Linked DNA regions of Oryza sativa Japonica Group. The protein of the gene in region 3 binds, or shares a complex with, the protein of the main gene of each other region. Links are inferred from orthologs where the notes say so. Each region holds a gene or a part of one and is shown on either strand. Other genes may lie near its edges.

What was found. The genes of interacting proteins can lie anywhere in the genome.
Region 1: mRNA export factor GLE1 (region 3) and nuclear pore complex protein NUP88 share a complex: the UniProt entries of both Arabidopsis thaliana proteins name them as parts of the nuclear pore complex. The link is inferred for Oryza sativa Japonica Group from reciprocal best matches to the Arabidopsis thaliana genes GLE1 and MOS7.
Region 2: mRNA export factor GLE1 (region 3) and nuclear pore complex protein NUP1 share a complex: the UniProt entries of both Arabidopsis thaliana proteins name them as parts of the nuclear pore complex. The link is inferred for Oryza sativa Japonica Group from reciprocal best matches to the Arabidopsis thaliana genes GLE1 and NUP1.

Annotation. Positions count from the first base shown.
Region 1 is NC_089038.1:31,296,472-31,303,234, reverse strand, and holds the start of nuclear pore complex protein NUP88, read right to left. Parts: upstream 4,019-6,763; 5' UTR 3,966-4,018; coding exon 3,519-3,965; intron 3,231-3,518; coding exon 3,079-3,230; intron 2,762-3,078; coding exon 2,639-2,761; intron 2,448-2,638; coding exon 2,303-2,447; intron 1,601-2,302; coding exon 1,539-1,600; intron 1,260-1,538; coding exon 1,046-1,259; intron 1-1,045. UniProt on the Arabidopsis thaliana protein: Involved in the regulation of exportin-mediated nuclear protein export. Required for resistance mediated by multiple R proteins and for the appropriate nuclear accumulation of SNC1 and of the downstream defense signaling components EDS1 and NPR1.
Region 2 is NC_089046.1:16,300,775-16,307,452, reverse strand, and holds the start of nuclear pore complex protein NUP1, read right to left. Parts: upstream 4,019-6,678; 5' UTR 3,897-4,018; coding exon 3,536-3,896; intron 3,196-3,535; coding exon 3,146-3,195; intron 2,734-3,145; coding exon 2,639-2,733; intron 1,360-2,638; coding exon 1,254-1,359; intron 203-1,253; coding exon 1-202. UniProt on the Arabidopsis thaliana protein: Nucleoporin required for nuclear mRNA export. Functions as an adapter and/or regulator molecule in the periphery of the nuclear pore complex (NPC). May interact with importin proteins and mediate active nucleocytoplasmic transport through the NPC.
Region 3 is NC_089036.1:23,620,042-23,624,339, forward strand, and holds the start of mRNA export factor GLE1, read right to left. Parts: upstream 2,801-4,298; 5' UTR 2,420-2,800; coding exon 2,418-2,419; intron 2,325-2,417; coding exon 2,178-2,324; intron 2,069-2,177; coding exon 1,913-2,068; intron 1,779-1,912; coding exon 1,655-1,778; intron 1,026-1,654; coding exon 877-1,025; intron 1-876. UniProt on the Arabidopsis thaliana protein: Required for seed viability.

The sequences.
Region 1 (6,763 bases), on a different chromosome or scaffold from region 3:
AAAATGTAGAAGATAGTTACATGTACATTGACAATAGGTAGCTATAGTTTGGATTATCAGATGTCATATCAAGAATGATTGTCCAGTTCTACAAAAATTACCAAGTAAGCTAGTCTAGTATTTTGATAATTTCTCTTTCACAAAGTACAAACTACATCAATACATTACAACAATACAAAAAAAATGGTAATAAAAAAATATCTTAAGTACCAGATTTGCGGTTGTTTATTAATTCAAGAAATTCCATATTCAGTACCAGAAACTAATTTACAGAATTTTGTAGACCTAGAGTAATAAAGTCAAATAGCCTCCCCTAATGTTTTCCGGTCAAAAAAATCATACATGATTTTGTAAGACAGAAGTTTTAGTTAGTGCTGTCTCTTGTTTTCCTTTCTTTCTGTCATAGCCATTGCGAACTGGCCCAGAAAAACATGGGAACTATCTGGACAACTTAATCCATGGTTTAGGTCATGACCAAAACTGAGTACAATAGTAATTATGGCCATTCTTGAGCCAATGAAGCGCAAATCTTGTGCACACCAGGGTTCACATTTCCATTTTCAAGGTGAAAACCACTTTCGGTTTACCAAAAACTAAGCAAAAACGGGTAAAATCTGACAAATTTGGTCAACTCCGTATGAAAACCATCTAAAAACACTCAATTTTCACAAACCAATCCCCAACAGTTTCACGAAAACCGAGCGGCTTTTGCGGTTTTCGATCAGAAAGGTGAACCCTGGGGCGCACTACCAATTCCAAACTGTGGCAGCAAATCGTACTAGCACAAAAGTTTTCATGCAGACATGTGAATGCGGTACATGTCTGCGGTAGACACCGCCGCTACATGCAAGTTGTGGAAATGTCTGGTCGCAAACCAATCAGCTCCTAACTCCTACAAAACAATAAATCTCATATACTAAAAAACAATGGATTGATTATGACCAGCTGCATGAGCACCAAATTCACATTTCTCTGGTCATTGCATTAGCATAGTCCACTAGCTTTTGGTTCGAACAATATTTCACCAAGTCAAATAGAAGCAGACCTGTAAAGTTAGAGAATCATCTAATGATGCGTATGGATGAGCTCTAGACATCAATGCACTATTATCAGCTGGCTGACGTGACAAGTCAGGAAACGTTGCTTCCAACCAAGCAATTGCCAAACGTGAGTTGGTGACAACATTTTGGTTTGAGGATTTCAATCCAAATGAATTAACATCTTCATATATTTCTTGAATATGCTTCTTATTGTAATCGCTGCATCACAGGGAAAAAAAATAAAGTCAAAACCAATATGCAGATAAAGAAAGGGCACCATATGATCATATCATTAAGGTCGCATTTCATAAATACAAGACTACAAAGTGAAAGTGTGAAACTGCAGGGACCATAATTTATTTCCCATAAACAAAATTAGTACAGTATTTTTTTTGTTTTAACAAATTAGGACCATCATGCTGTCAAATTGTTGTAAGCCTTCTTCCCAATAGAGAGAAAAGAGGGGTGGGGGAGGGCAGAAATAAATGCAATACTTACCTTCCAAATGGAACAATGGGGCAGAGCACAAAAATTGAACCATCGCTGAATAAGATGAAAACCTGTAAAAGGACAGGCTTACATGTGAAATTAAGCACATAAATGAGCCATTAAACATACGAAGTATGCCGAAACTACTAAAAATATTACATATGTCGAAACAACCAATTGAAAAGGTGACATGAAAGAAAGTGATGCATAAAGTATCAAAAGTATTCCAGTAACTCTTTCATGAATAGTGGGGACAAACATTATTAGATGTTCCAGAAAAAAAGGGTTTGGGCGTAGAAACCATGCAATCAGCTGCCAAGTTCATTTATGTAGTAATATGACTTGTGACACCCTAAATCTTGCTACAGATGTAAATAAAGAAACTACAAGGTTAATCCCATGTGTGAAGCAAACAAGTACTCCCTCCGTCCCAAAAAAAGGCAACCTAGGTGGGGATGGGACACCACCTAGGACAATGAATCATGTCCTGATTCATTGTCCTAGGTGGTGTCCCATCCCCACCTAGGTTGGTTTTTTGTAGGACGGAGGGAGTAGATTCTATAAGGCTAATTCGGGTAGGACTCTAATATCCTATTTTGTGGTTTAATATTAACTATGCTATGATATTGCTTGCTAAATTACAAAACAATCCCATCGGATGAAAAATCATTCTGGTTTTGTTTTCAGCTAATAAAGACACTGTAGATCATTTACTATATTTTTTTCCAGATGACTTCTACAATATTTAGGGGATCAATATTCAAGAAACATACCGAAAATCTATCCCACAGATGATCACTCCCATATGAGAATGCCACTGGACAAATTGATGAAGCATTCTGGCATTTGCCAGGTAGAATTGGTTGCAAATAGAACTCCTGCTCTGGTTGCTCTAAATCAAATGACAGATCAAATAACCTGCAGAAATAATAACAAAACTTCTATAAAAGGGTCATGCAATAATTATTTTTAAAAGCAAGTGTTGTCTTCAATTAATTTAAGTGTGGATGTAAAAGACGTATTTCCATTCCAATCAAATCCAATAAATAGCAAGGAAGCATAGATAAAGTGGAATTCCTCCATCTAGCATCGATACTCATTTATCAAACCTGAAAACAGCATCTGATGTCAAGACTCCAAAATGACTACTGCTAAAAGGGTGCCACGATGTTTGCAGTACTTTGATGCCATCATTGTTGCTAGGTAAGATCTGAGAAGCAACTGGCACAGTCCTGTTGTAAGGTCCATATGTACAAGTCAATACAATGAAAGAAAGAAGATATGAGTAATGATATTAAAAAAAGGAAGAGAAATAATGATTCAGGTCATAAATCTAAAGAGCAAGGTGAAATAAAATTTTGGAGTTGCGTTCTTCAATACCCTGATGATAAGAGTACTCAGAGAAACCTACTCTTAGTGTTCACGGCTATGAATATGCTGCATGTATATATGCAACAACCTATTGCAGCTTAAATAATTGCAAGATGGTCGGGAAAAATACCAGTACAATACTAATAACATAAGATAAAGCTATAGTGGACTTATGTACCTGCATATGACCTTATCACCATCTTCAGAAACCCTCTCATGCACATACAGAATACTTATGTTATGTGATCCAGCAAGTAGTAGCGATGAACCGTCGGTATTAAGTGATAAATGAGTGACCTTGTAACCAAGATCAGTCTCCGGCATCAACATCTGGACAGCATAGGCAACATCAGCTACTAATTACTACCTCCAGTATCAAAAATAGCATGACACGATATGTTTATTTCCTGCAACACATTTTAAACTACAAACCCCCTAGGCGACACTAAGAATTCCATTTTTTGCACTCACTAGCACAACATTTGTTAGTGAATTGCAAGTTGACCTAATTCACAAACGTGAAAACTCAAACAAATGCCTCCAGTTCAGTGTCTAGAAAGGAATTGCATCACTTTTACAAGTGAGAACTGACACAACCACAAGAGGAAACGACCTCACCTCGGAAGGCACGGCGGCTTCCACGGCGACATCATCCCCGTCCTTCCCCGCCTCCGCATCGCGAACCCGCACGCATATCCGGTGTACGCCTCGCGCCGAAGGGTCCCACACGTACAGCCGCGACGCCGACGCATCCCACGCGGCGCCGCCACCGCCGCCGCCGAGGCCCTCCCCGCCGTCCCCGCGGGAGAATGCGGGGTGAGAGGGGAGCGCCACCCACTGAGCCGCGGCGTAGGCCCTCCTCGGCGACGGCCGCACCTTGGGCCTCGACGAGGTGGAGGCGGAGGCGGAGGCGGAGGCGGAGGAGGACGGGGTGAGCGCGAGGGACGGGGAAGGCGAGTGGCGGCGGCGGGAGCGCGGGGTGCCCAGGGCAGCGGGGGAGTGGCGGAGGGGAGGCGGGGATGAGGGCGGCGAGGACGGCGGCGGCGGCGCGGTGATGCGGGTCATCGCCGCCGACGAGGTCGAGTGCTTGCCGCCGGAGAAAGAGAAATGCGGGGTTTGGGGTTTGGGATGGCAGGTCAGGCCTACTTGTCCATGGGCCTTAGAAACAAATAAGTGGGCTTTTGGGCTTTTGAAGGGAAGTGAACCGGTCCAGCCCGTAATGGCATGACATGTGGGACCTACCTGTCGGGCTGTTCCACTACCTCCGTCCAAAAATATTATATTTTGAGATGCTTCTAAAAATACATTTTTTGAAACATACTACAGCGCAGACGCTCACAACTTACGCACACTCACCCCTATGAATACACGTACACATATCTTTCCCCTACGGGCACTTTCAAAAGATGAGAAAATTGCTTATAGACATTAGTATATTACCATAAAAATTATATACGCGTATGTAAAGCTTTTATTAGTATTTTAGTAACATCAGGTATTTGTTGCTACTTCCTCCGTTTCACAATGTAAGTCATTATAATATTTCCCACATTCATATTGATGTTAATGAATATTCATTAACATCAATATGAATGTGGGAAATATTATAATGACTTACATTGTGAAACGGAGGAAGTAATATTTTTTTACTGTGTTTTAAGGGTATATTGATAAGCGCATGTAATATTGTGTGTGTTTGTGCATATTAGGTGTTAGAAATTAAATGTTTGAGATGAGCGTAGCTCAACAGATTAGATTTCTTATGATTTAGTTGATTAGATTTTTTATGGTGGAACTAACCCATTCGAGTCCAAGTAAGATTTGATACGGGTACTCGCATTTATTTTTTTTCAGTGGTAAGCAACGTAGTGACTTATTTGTTAATCTCAAGATTTGCTAGCCCAGTTTTTTAAATGTGCTCATAAGGATGAGGTTTACATGTGTGTTTTTATAGGGTGAGAGGGTGCGTACGTTATGAATCTCAACATTTTCATTGTTTTTCTCAAAAGGAAAACATAACTGGTGAGACATATCAACAGGGAGCAATTAAAACACCCACTCATCGGGGATTTAGATCCTCTAATGTAACTTTTCTCTGACGTGATGGTTAACATATGAGGCCGAGAATGATAGGGCCTACTGTACACGTTAGTTACGGTAATACTAACGTTAGATATATCTGCTTCCTCCACTGGCACGATGAATACCAGGAAACCCGGAGTTATACATTAATGGGTTGCAGTCATGGCCTTGCCTGTCGGCTGTCGTCTCCAATCTCCATGCATGTCGACGGACGGACCGGCCGTGCATGACGCATCGACGACACCGCCTGCCGATCTGCCTGCAGCCTGCTCGATCCATCCATCGATGATCCAACAGCATCACGTCCCCACCACAAGGCAGGCACTGCCGCAATTGCATCCCTGCAACACATGCATGCATCGGATCACTTGCCGTGGATTCATATCGCAGCCGTGACGGCGTACGGTGCCGTTGCCGTCGTCTCGTACAACTGTCAAGCCCTTTTTCTAACGGCTTATTAGAAAATAGAAATAAATTTATAGATAAAACTTTTATATATGTGTTCTTGGTGACTTAAAAGTCAATGCTGAAAAAGAAGTTACGTTGAAAATATCTCAAAATCAATATTAAAATTAAGTTTGAAAATTTAAAATTTAGCTTTTTCTTTGATTGATTAGGCCATCCGATGAAAGCCTCAGTGAGCTTGCATAGCTGCAGCTGCAAGCTGATCTCTCCTTCATATCGATCCACACTGCGTCTTCGTCGTCATCTCTATGATCACCATGAGGGGAGCTAGCTGATCGATCAGTTAATGCAACCCTGTTGTATATTTGCTCATGCTGGTGCTAGCTGTAGTAGCTAGCTAGATTAATTTGCCCTTTGATATTAGCTTCATGCCTGATTAATTTTTCCCCCTTTCCCTTATAACCTCCTATGATTGTGTCAGTTGGTCGCAGTTGTAAAAGTTTTTTCTTCTGTTAAATTGTTAATATATACGAGCATGTAAGGTTTTCGCGCGTTGGAGAAAAAAAAAATACTATGCTGCCCATTCTGACGAACTGTTTCTCTGCCTGCTTATTTCTGGACACGAGCATCAGCTACGGGCCAGCCAGACAAGACAGCAAAACGTGAAGATCCTAAAAACCTTGATGCATATATAGATCTCTGTCATACGGATGATTGGACAGTATGGCCACTATGTCTGCATCCATACATGAGTGTGCTATGATCATGATCATGATCAGTATACGTAATATTCAGTATAGCTTGGATCGGAGTATTAAGCAATTCATCAAACCTCAGAATTCTAATGACAGCAGGAGTGATCTGTGATCTTAATCCATATATATCTCCTCCTCTGCATGCAGCCATCGTATCAACAGCGCTGACGCGTCATTATCTAATTGCATGTGCTACCTGTTCATCAGCATTTGACAGGAGCGGTTAGCTAGCTGGGCATCCTTACGACAGCAAGATCGCACAAAATGTGGCCAACGATCTGGTCGGATGAATGGTATCAGCACATTTAGTTTTTCTTTAAGACTCTATCAGCACATTTGGTTTATGTTTGCACTTCTTTTCGACCATGAAAAAGCATTTTGTCATAGAGCTAATCTTGCAGAGCATATATATAGTACTGACGAAAGATATCGACTATTGTATATGTCGTTATAATTAGTACCTCTGCCATTTTCAGAAATGGAGCAGCTATCTAACGTTTGCCAGGCATAATCTGAAACCTTGATATCTTCTCACATGACTGTTAGTTTGCTGCTATAATTAAGCCCTAATTGGTCCTACACACACATGAAACATCAGCTAATGCATGAATATCAGATTAA
Region 2 (6,678 bases), on a different chromosome or scaffold from region 3:
GACGATCAGAGGTGGTTGGAGCATGATTTCTTGCACTCGCGAGCAGAGAGAGGGTGGGAGGCCTCGTTATTTGTGTTGTATTAGCTTCTATCGATTTGGAAAGTACAGAGGGGTCATGCAATCTAAGACGTAATGGTGATCCCTTAGAAGATCTTGAACCCATGTATGCCTTTGCAAGTTCTGCAGGTGAAGCAACTTGATCCTGCAGGAATGAATAGCATGAGATTATGTTACCCTTGTAGTCACGGAACATATGGCATATCAATGGTATAAACAACAAATGTGTCAGGAGATAAAATAGTTCATGGTACGAGCTTTGCTATTTTGTGGCAAATGTAGATAGAATCGCAAGTGAAACTCATGTAGGAATAGAAAAAAGAAGTATGTGTACCAGGGACTACTAAAAGTTGGGTTTCTAAAGTCGAAAATTGCACATATAGGCCCCTAAACATGTGTATGTGCATAAGTACAGGTTTAAACCATGCCTAATAAGCAACTACAGACCACTTATACAAGTATACCAAAAAAAAAAGTAGGATGACTTTGTTGACCCACTTATACAATTTTATGTACCCACTCAAATCCAGAGACCCAAGTGACCTGCAAAAATTTAGGGAATAAGGGGGACCTATGATATGCTTTCCTCAACTTCGAAAAAAAAATAACAAACTATTCTGCTGGTCAAGGGTTTTAACTCAACAATATGCCATATCTCTACTATTATAAAAATTGAAGATGTTTTTGCCGGTATTTTGGTATGTCATCCGGGTTTGAGTCGGTTTTTAAGTTCGTTCACTTTTAGAAATACAGATCCGTGTTTGAGTTGGATTTTAAGCTCATTTGCTTTTGGAAATACAGAAGGAGTCGTATAAGAAATATCATTAAAAAAACTCGCATGCTAACTTGAGATGATATACGGACTCTTGCAGCTTATGATTTTCAAAAAAAAATATCCAAGCGAATTCCCACAGTGAATTTTACCCTAGCTAAACCATATAACAACAATAAAATTAAAATAGCATTTACCCATTGCAACGCACGGGCATTTTTTCTAGTATCTTAAAAATAAGAAATTATATTGTTGCTTCAACACTTTAAATTATGTTCTGTACAGTACAGTATGGGTGATTGTAAAAGAAATCAATTTCATCATATGAACAGGAATATTTAGTGAGCAACATGACTTGCGTATTAACAGAAGTGTTGAATGTTCTAAAGGAGAAATCAACAGGTAAGTCTCCAGATCGACTTGCCTTCTCAGGAAAATGCATTTTCTTCATATTACCAACTCCTGGAATCAATAATTTGGACCCAACCGTTCTAGATAACAACAACTCAGACAAATATTCAAATTCACTCCTGCAAGACAGAAAATTATTTGTAAGATAGAAATATGTTTTCGCATTTCTACTGTACACTTGGACATTAGCAAAACAAATTTGCAAGTTACAATGCAATAGGCAAAACAGGTATTCACAACAATAGGATCTAGCAAAGAAAACATGGCATTGCACTTCAACTCATACAGAAGCATGGAAGTATTAAAGGATAAATGAGGATTGAACTATCAAGAAGATGTGTTCCCCCAACTGCATTGCTACTCCATACAAATCATGTACGCAAATCATATACAACTGCAGGCTGATGCATTAACTGCTACAAAGAAAATGCGAACTTCTTTTTCTATGCAGGATGTATCAATTTTCTTAGTGTTCTCCAATGTATACCAGCCTAAATGGAACTACAATAAAGTAAGTTAATTGTGATGAGCATTGAGCCAAAAGGCTGAGGGCCATAAGCAGCCCATATAGAGATAAGATTATCAGTCAAAGATTAGATTGAGTCCTTACTTAAGGATCAAGTTATATAATCTATATAAGGATGGGATTGTGTCTATTATCATTAAGCAATGAATCAGATTAGTATAATTTCTTTCCTTAATATCTTCTTATCCCTAGTCTAAATATACATCCCTTCTCCAATAGCCGGCGCCGCCCGGCTACCCTCCCAGTGGTGGTTATGCCATCATGGCCTCGGTTCATGACATTAACAATGAAGTATAACTTCACCACAGAAAATTGGTCTCGGTAAGTGAGAAAAAAAGAAGGGAGAAGGTACAGGAGAGAATGTGGTAGCATAAACAAACGTATGAGAAAAAGAAGACACGGGTAAGAAAAATTATCTAAGGTAACAGAACCTTCCAGAAATGTCAATGGTATTTTCTACAACTAACTAATACCAAAGTAAATGCCATACAACTGTCCATTTCTTAGTTCCCAGCTTTAGAACTGAAGTACACTTCTTTTTCTCCTAAAAAAAGAAAAACCAGTTAGGGAAACCCATGTTTTCTATAGCCTCATGGTTTATATTTTCTTGGTCACATAGAAATTATTATTAGTACAAATCATTTCATGGTAATAGTGTGATGCTGTGTTATGAACTTCATGGATGTACCCCATCATTGCAGATCAAGTTCAGTTCCTTAGGTGTATGCTGTATTTGGGGTATTATGCAATTAAAAGATATATCGGCGGTACCTATGCCTACCAGTTACTGAAATGCTAGCAACAAATCTAATACTGCTCAAATTACTTGCTAAACATGAGCCTATTAATGTTATACAAAAACAGGTACTTGCCTCGTGAATGTCCTCTGTTTCAATAGTTCTTCAAGATCCATAACGTCATAGCTATCAGACCTTCTAAGAATGTCATCTCCATCTTTGGCAGAATTCTGAGGATTGACAATGGACAGATTCCACATATAAAGCAACATGTGTTTAGGAACTTGATCATATGGAAGATTCAATAGGGTATCAAGGTAAAATAAGTAGCACTGGCACTGGACAAAAATGTAAGTGTGTAACTTAAGAAGACTTCATATGGTTACACATGTTATCTTATTATCCATTCAAAGAAGTATCAATTAATAAATCTTGCAAGAATAATAACGACCATATATTTCAAGTGAAAGAGGTTAAATTCTACCGGCTTAAAATAGAAGTCAATGTTTTAATTTCTATATAAACTTATAGTGCTTAAAAAAGCATAGCAAACATCTAACCATGATAACTAGTAGGTTATTATCCGACAAGTACAACGTGGAATACGCAAATTTACAATATGCATTTACAGAGCCAGCTTACATTAGCCACGGTTCCGGTGCCCTCTTCTTCTTCTTCCGGAATGTCATCTTCTGTGTATACAAACAACAGGAAACTTTGTAAGTTTGCCAGCAGTCACTAACAACACGTGAACCGACAATCGCCACTTTGTATGAAAGCATCGATTACGCCGTCATCCCCCAATCGTCGGAAGAACGGACAAAATAAACAACAGCTACTACATAGTAACATAGCTAAGAGTCCATATGCAACGCAACATGCCGATCTACATTGATTGAAGCTACTAAATTAATCGACTACAGAGATTTAGAGTTGGTTTGGCCTATGCGAAATGATTGCACCAAACTGCACAACATCACACAACACCAACAGGGCCCCAACAAAGCTAGCGGCGAACGCGGTCAAACAAACCTAGAGGCGGAGGCGGAGGCGACGGCGGAGTATCGAGCGTCTCCGCCTGCGAGGGCGCCTCCTCGAGCAACTCGGGCAGCGAAGGCGGCTCGCCGAGATGCTCCCGCTCCCGCTCGTGCTCCGGCTGCGGCGGCGGCGGCTTGCGGAACACGGAGGGCAGGAGGAGCGAGGCGCCGCTGGCCACGAGGCGGGAGAACCACCCGCCGCTGCCGCCGCCGCCGCCGCCGCCGCCGAGGCGCGTCGCCGCGGATGCGGGGGCGGGGCGCGCGTAGGGCGAGGCGGCGGCGGCGCGGGACGGGGGGCGCCTCCGGATCTTGCCTCCGGCGCCGGAGCCGCCGTCGTAGGCTCCCCGGGAGGCCATGTGACGGCGCCGATGTGGAGGGGAAGGCGGGGTTAGGGTTTCGGGGATCGCGCGCTCGCGGAGGGCTAGGGTTTTGGGAGAGGCGAACGAATAACCGGGGGAAGAAGAGCCCCGTGGGGGACGGAGGGGGGGTGGGGTGGGATGGTGATTACAAGGAGTTTCAAGGGGGTTAAGTGGTAAACGTTTTTTGAGGGCTCTTCCTTCCTGACGGCTTCGTACTTTCGTAGGTAGTATGATGAACACGCGCAGCGATGTGTTCCGATTGATAATTCCCTTCTCTGCAAGGTTTGCCTTCCTTATCATTTGAACGGTTTCTCTTTACTTCCATAATAATTCACGGCAGAAATAGAATTGGTATTTTATTTTTTTTATGCTTGGTAGTATATTTGGGACATAAATTGCCAAAAAAATGATATTTTGAATCTTCCACAAAACTTGTTATATAAATGACCTATGATAAAAACTAGGGTTAATTGGATCCATGCTATTGTAAATGTATCAAATTAGAAAAATACCACTACTATTTACGATATTGGCTAGGTGCCGCTGGAATTTTGGGAAATTGAATCCATGCCATCCCGTCGCCTTTTCCGTCGTTCCCCCGTTAATTTCCTAACTCTATGGTCCGTGCCGCCGTGGGGGCTGCCGGGACTAGACGCCATCACCGGGACATCGTCTTTGTCGCCGTCAAACCGGAGCACGCCGGAGCAAGCCATGGCGCCACCGTCGTCGCCTCGACGTCCTCTTCAAGAAGCCTCAAGAACCTCAGCCGGAGACACGGGGAACGGGGAGATCGGCCTTCATCTTCTTCACCTCCGGCGCCGTTCCCATCGTTGATTTTCACAATGCCGGTTGCCGCAGCTGCGGGCCTCGTTCCTCGCGCGGTTGCCGCTATGCATTACCACCTTTCTCGTCGGACGCCGTTGAGGAAGAGGAGCTCATCCTCGCCGTGCATCTCCATGTCCTCCACGAGCAGCTCTCGTCCTCCATGGACTGCGTGCATAGTGGCTTGGTCAGGGAGAGCCCCGCCGACGAGCTAGTCTGGTGGCTCGCCGCCTCGGCTCCCCCGGCGACCACCACTTACGGTAGCGACGGTACACACAACAGCAGCAGCACAAGGCCGCCGCGGCGCAGCCCGCCCCCAACGACGGCGCGGCAGTTGACGATTCGGGGCGACGCGGCGGGTCGCGGGCGGCACTCCGGCGCGCTCCGGGAGCGGGAGCAGGAGCAGCAGCAACGGAACCCCGCGGCGGCACTCCGGCGGTGGCGATGGCATGGGGAGCGAGAGCAGCAGCGGGCGAACGCCGTGCCGTCGCTGCCAAGCTCGGCGCTGACGCGCGTTGTACACGCACAGCGATGTCACTGTCAAGGCGGATGTTGCCGCGACCGTTGACCTCGCCATTACGCGCCACGGCCGCCTCGACGTCCTCTACAGCAACGCCGGATCATAGGAGCACAGGCTCCGGACTCGCTCGGCGTGCTCGACATCGACGAGTACGACCGCGTCATGGCTGTCAATGCCAGGTCCATGTTCGTATGCGTCAAGCACGCGGTGCGTGTCATGGCGGCATGGTGGCGTGGATGCAGCCTCTGCACGGTTAGCACGGCGGCATGGCGGCCATGACGCCGGCCGGCAACTCCGCCACTCCGCCTCCTCGACCTGTTGGCTCTGCCGTCCGCGACGTCGGCAAGCTGCTGTTCAACCACTCGGCGTCCGTCTCCATCCTCGCCGGCCGTGGCCGCAGCCGCTCCCCGCGCTCGCGACGTCCTCGCCGGCGGCCGCCTCGTCTTCTTGCCCTCGCCGTGCCTACGTGAGATTAGAGGATGACGACGTGAGAGAGAACGACAGAAATAGTGACGGAGTGGCATGGTTTCAATTTTAAAAATTTGTAGTGGCACCTAGCCAATAAAACAAATAGTAGTGGTATTTTTCTAATTTGCCACATTTACAGTGGCATGGATCCAATTAACCCTAAAAACTATAACAAAAATATACCAAAAAGCTCATAGCTCGTGACTAACTCGACTCGGCTCGTTTGTATTTATTAACGGGCTAAGCCAGGGTTAGCTCGTTTGCTATAACGAGCGAGCTCAAGCTGGCTCGCGAGCTAAATGAGCCATGGAAAAACAAAGCAGCCCAGGAGTGCTGAGGTGGATCGCATTGTTATTTGTAGGCCTAAGGCCCATCAGATCCACTGATTTCCACTAAACCCTAGTTATATCAAATAGATCGATTGATTTCCCCATTCCCCAATCTACAGCGCACGCTGTTTCTGTCCAGTATCACATCGCCATAGTGTCGCCCAAGCCCTCACGCCGGCATCGTCGACGACCTGGCCGTCACCACCAGCCTCTAGGGGGCAGCAACAGCGTGGTTTGTGAGCTCACGGTGCCGCGCTTCCTCTCGTCGCCGCTCCAGCCGGTCGGCCAACTCCGTGGCAAGCGTGGCCTTGTCTCAGTCTCGTCGTCGTGAGGAAGACGAACAAGCAGGGTGAAGGTCCCCTGCTGCAGGATGCAAGAGCATGCAACTCCATCGACAGCGCTACAAGTTATAAATCAAGGAGCAAAAGTTCAATCTTGCCGTCCTCGTCGCCGTCGGCAGTTCGGCACTTCGGCAAGTCAATCTCCCATGTTAATTTTGGTTGGTCTAGGATTCACTAGGGTGTTTGCTTGGTGTTTTGTTTGGTTCCAATATGACGAGACTTTCAGATCTGTTTTTATGGATGCAATGTGTAAAAAAAAATTTGTGCCAAGTCTTTGTGATTTGTCGGTTGTTTGATTT
Region 3 (4,298 bases):
AAATATTTACAGTGCTAATGATTGAACTGGAACATAAAGTTACTACACAAAGAAGTACAAAAACTATATAATTGTGTCACAGATAGTTAATTCCTTATATAACACAAATAGAGCATTTAAAAAATAGTCAACCCTTAGTCTCAGTCGCTAATCATTTGACCAAACACCACAGGTATAAGTATGGAATATTTGTACGTTAAACCCACACGATTTAATCAGTTGTGAATAGAATATATAAATTGCTGCAAAATGTAAAGAGCTGAAACCTTGGGCTTGGAATTTCTCATTGATCATTTAAGTAGCAAATTTAACCAAATAACGATGAGGATAATAGCAAATGGTGGAGGAAACATTAAGGATCTTAGTATTAGTCCACAATCACCCAATAAACCTTTATATTGGAATTTGTGCATATAGGAGATGATTGTTTTCTCTTCAAAACTATGTGCACTAGAAATAATCCATGATAAACTGTGTAGCTACTAGCAAGGTCCGTCAGCCTTCATGAATATATACCTTTTCCACTCAGGAGTAATAAACTATATTGGAATGAAAAACTTAGCACTTTGTAAGCCCTCTTTACAATAAAATAAATTGAGTTATGACAAATAAAAATGGCATAACTTTACAAAGCAACCACCAATAAAAATTCAGTCTTGACAAACTAGTACAAGAATATCTTGATATGTGCCACAGAAAATCCTCCAGTAACAAAAGAGAACAAACTAGTACAGAAGTTAACCCTAGTCCCAGAAAATTGCATCACCAAAGACCTTGTAAAACATACAGTTTCCTCAAAATTTGAAAAATCAACAGTAATCATGAAATGTAGATTTAAAAAGACACAGGAGAAACAATTCAACAACAAAAACATACATTTTTCTCTGGAAGTGGACATCTAGCCTTCTGTCTATCTCTTTTCTTGATTCTGCGTATTTCTGTAGTCGAGCAAATGCAGAAACTGTTCGCTGGATTTCACTTTGGTGGCATACCTCCAATGCAGATAGTTTACTTCTGACTTCCTCCTGAAGAAAAAAAATCATATGAAGAAAATGAACAAAAAGGATTCAGCAGATTTAATAAATCCATCATGGTAAAAAATAAAGGCATGCAACATCAGCCAAAAAGATAATTAGTACTATGATACCCAATACTTAGAAATTTAGTCATATGACATCCCTGTTGGCTTTCTATGTTAAACTTCTTGGATCACAATATCCAATTTGAAGTAAATGCAGTATTGTATTTGAAAAATCTTCTTCAAGTAGCAACTAACAGAAGTGATGTATTGTTTTTCTTGAAATTTCATCATGTCATTATCCAACCATATCAGTGTGGCACTACACTAACCTTAAAGGGAACAAACAAAAGCTTCATTCAGGAATTCATATACAGTATAACCTTAGAAAGATGAAAGATAATGGAAGCATCCACATGCCTGGATAGCTTAAAATACCTACATAAAGGTGAGGAAAAAGATATAAAGTTGATCCGTAAAGTGTAACCTAATGCCATGGTAACCCTAAACTAGAATGAGGATTAATGGTAATGAAAATAATTCAATGGTCTATTGCCAACACATCAAAGAAAAATCAGCCCATAAGTACTGCATTCAGTAAGAAAGATATAACAGTATAGATTGATGAATACACACTTGAACTTTCAGATGATGCTCACGTTCCAGCTCAAGCAGAATGCTCTTCTCTAGGCTCCGTTTCTCCATCAGGTGATATGGTGCAATCCTGCCATCCATTTCATCCTCTGATTCTTCAGCATCACTAGGAAGAAAACAAAAGAAGGGGATATCTCACACAATACGCCATTCATTTAAACTTAATTGCAGATAATGTACCGTACTTCAAAGCAAATAAATTGCAATTGCAGTGGCCAAATTTCAGCATCAAATCTTCACCTGGATTCAAGATCATTGCATGAGAACCTTGCTCCAGTGGCCTTGGCCACAAGAGCCCGGGACTCCCCATCACTGTCGTAATCGTCCTCATCCGTGTCATCTTCCTCTTCAACCCGCATCACAAAGGCCTTCTCCCTCACGCTGCCACTGCTAGCCCTAAATGAACCAAAAAAAAATCATATAGAAGCAATGTAGAGGGAAACGATTGCAGCTTATCGGCGAAACCATAAGCAAGGGAGCGCAAGGGATTGGAGAATAGAGATACCACTCCGGCGGCTGCTTGAGGGGCGTGGGCTGCGCGGTGCGGCGAGTGGCCTCGAGCGCGTCGAGCTCGGTGAGGACGTCGCCGAGGGTCCAGCTCGGGCGGGGGTCGAGGGCCCTAGGGCACCGCAGCTCCACGCGCGCGAAGCCCCTGCGAGGAGGAGGAGGAAGACGTAGAGATCAGCCTGCCTGCCATTAACGAACACCAAGCGGTGACGAGCGGAAACGGCGATGGGGGGCTCACATGGCGGCCGTCGACCGGCGAGGTCCGCCCCGGAGCGGATTGGAGCCGCGCCGGCGCAGCAAAACCCCCTAAGTTGCGGGAGGCGGCGGCGGCGGTGGCGGAGAGGCGGTGGACGCTAGTTGGGTCTCCCGGCTCCAGTCCCACCTCCAGCCGCTAATGGAGCCGTGCAGACAAGACGCGGTCTCCCTTGCTGCCGCGCCCGGTTGGCTTCCTCGCCGTCGCCGCTGCGCCCTGCCCTCCCGTGCCGCGGTGCCGCTCCGCCTCAGACTGGCCGCCGCCGCCGGAGCGCGAGGCCGGGATGCGCCGCCGCCGGACGTAGAGGAGAGATGGGCCTTGGGCCGAACACTGGTTCCGGAGGTTTCGCTTGCTTATTTTGGAAGTACGGTTTTCTGAGAGCAAACGGCAATTCGAAATAAAACCCCAGAACGGAACTACGATAAAAAACCAAAACGGAGAACGAAACCGAAAAGCAAAGAAAAACGGTAGAAATTCGATTCGGTGGACCGACTTGGATCGGCGATGCGAGGAGGTCGGCGGCGCGGATAGACAGCGGAGCAGATCGACGCCGGAATGGGACGGGGAGGCAGCCGTCTAGGCCATGGCTGGGCCAATCTGGCGGGCTGGGGAAGACGAAGATGACGCCAAGGCTGGGCCAACCTGAGCTTAAAATGTCAGAATAAGTCTGTTTCACCTCTCTCTCTCTCTCTCTCTTCTTTTTCTTTTTCTTTTTCTTTTTGCCCTTGGTCGCATCGCATCCCTTAACCGTAAAACCGAGTCTAACATTCCAACTTCAAAAACGGGTTTAGATTGACTCCTTAGATGGTTTTGGAAGCGGCTTTTGCTGACATGGCAATTTGACTTTGGTTTAGGTATGCTGACGTGGTAGCCCGGTCATCAAAACAATTGAAAATAGAAATTTGTCCTATATGTAAGTGATAAGAATGAAAATAAAAAAATTTGGGACCCAATTGTCAGCTCCATTCCTCCCTTCTTCAATTTGTATGTGCTTCAAGCCGCACTATGACACGTCAAAGTGCGGCGGTGTGGCTTGCGGTGTGTACAGATTGAAGAAGGAGGAGTGGGGCTGACAACTACCCCTTCCCCTGTTTTTGTTTATTTTCATCCTTACCACTTACATGTGAGACCCATTTATATTTTTAATTCTTTTAATGACTGAGATACCACCTTAACCAAGCCAAATTGCTACATCAGCAAGAACCGCTTTCAAAACCACCGACGGAATGAAAAACTGGTTTTTGAAGTTGGGGGAGGTGTTATATCCTGTTTTGTGGTTTAAGGATGTCATTTGACCAACAGCAAGGGATGAGTGAGGTGAAAATAGACTTATTCCTAAATGTATGATCGGACTTGGATGTCCCATTAAAGAAACATTTCGGGCCTATTCAGATTGTAGCCAAAATAAACCTTACCAATTTTTTTTCAATTTGGCAATATTGCCAAATTTTGATATGATATCTTATGTATTTATCAGAGTTTGGTAAAAATTAAATTGATGCACATATTTAACAACTTTACCAAAAAAAATGGTATGATTTGAAATGGCATCAATCTTAACAACCCATTCATATGATCAATTGATCATGTTATTACAAGAAGCAAAACAACTTAAATTTTGTTTAAAAACACATAATTATATATTATCCCAACAAATAAAACGAAAGAAAAATTATTTTTCAGAGATAACAAAACTGAAGAGAAAAATAATAATGTTACGTAACATGGTTAATCAACAAGTCTCGGAGATCGATTAGCCACTGCATCCGAAGTTCCGAACATCCGTCTCGCAAAGTGCATGCTCCCAGACTGACAGAAGAAAAATTATTGTATGTTTAGTTAACATCAAAATTGAAAGTTTGGTTA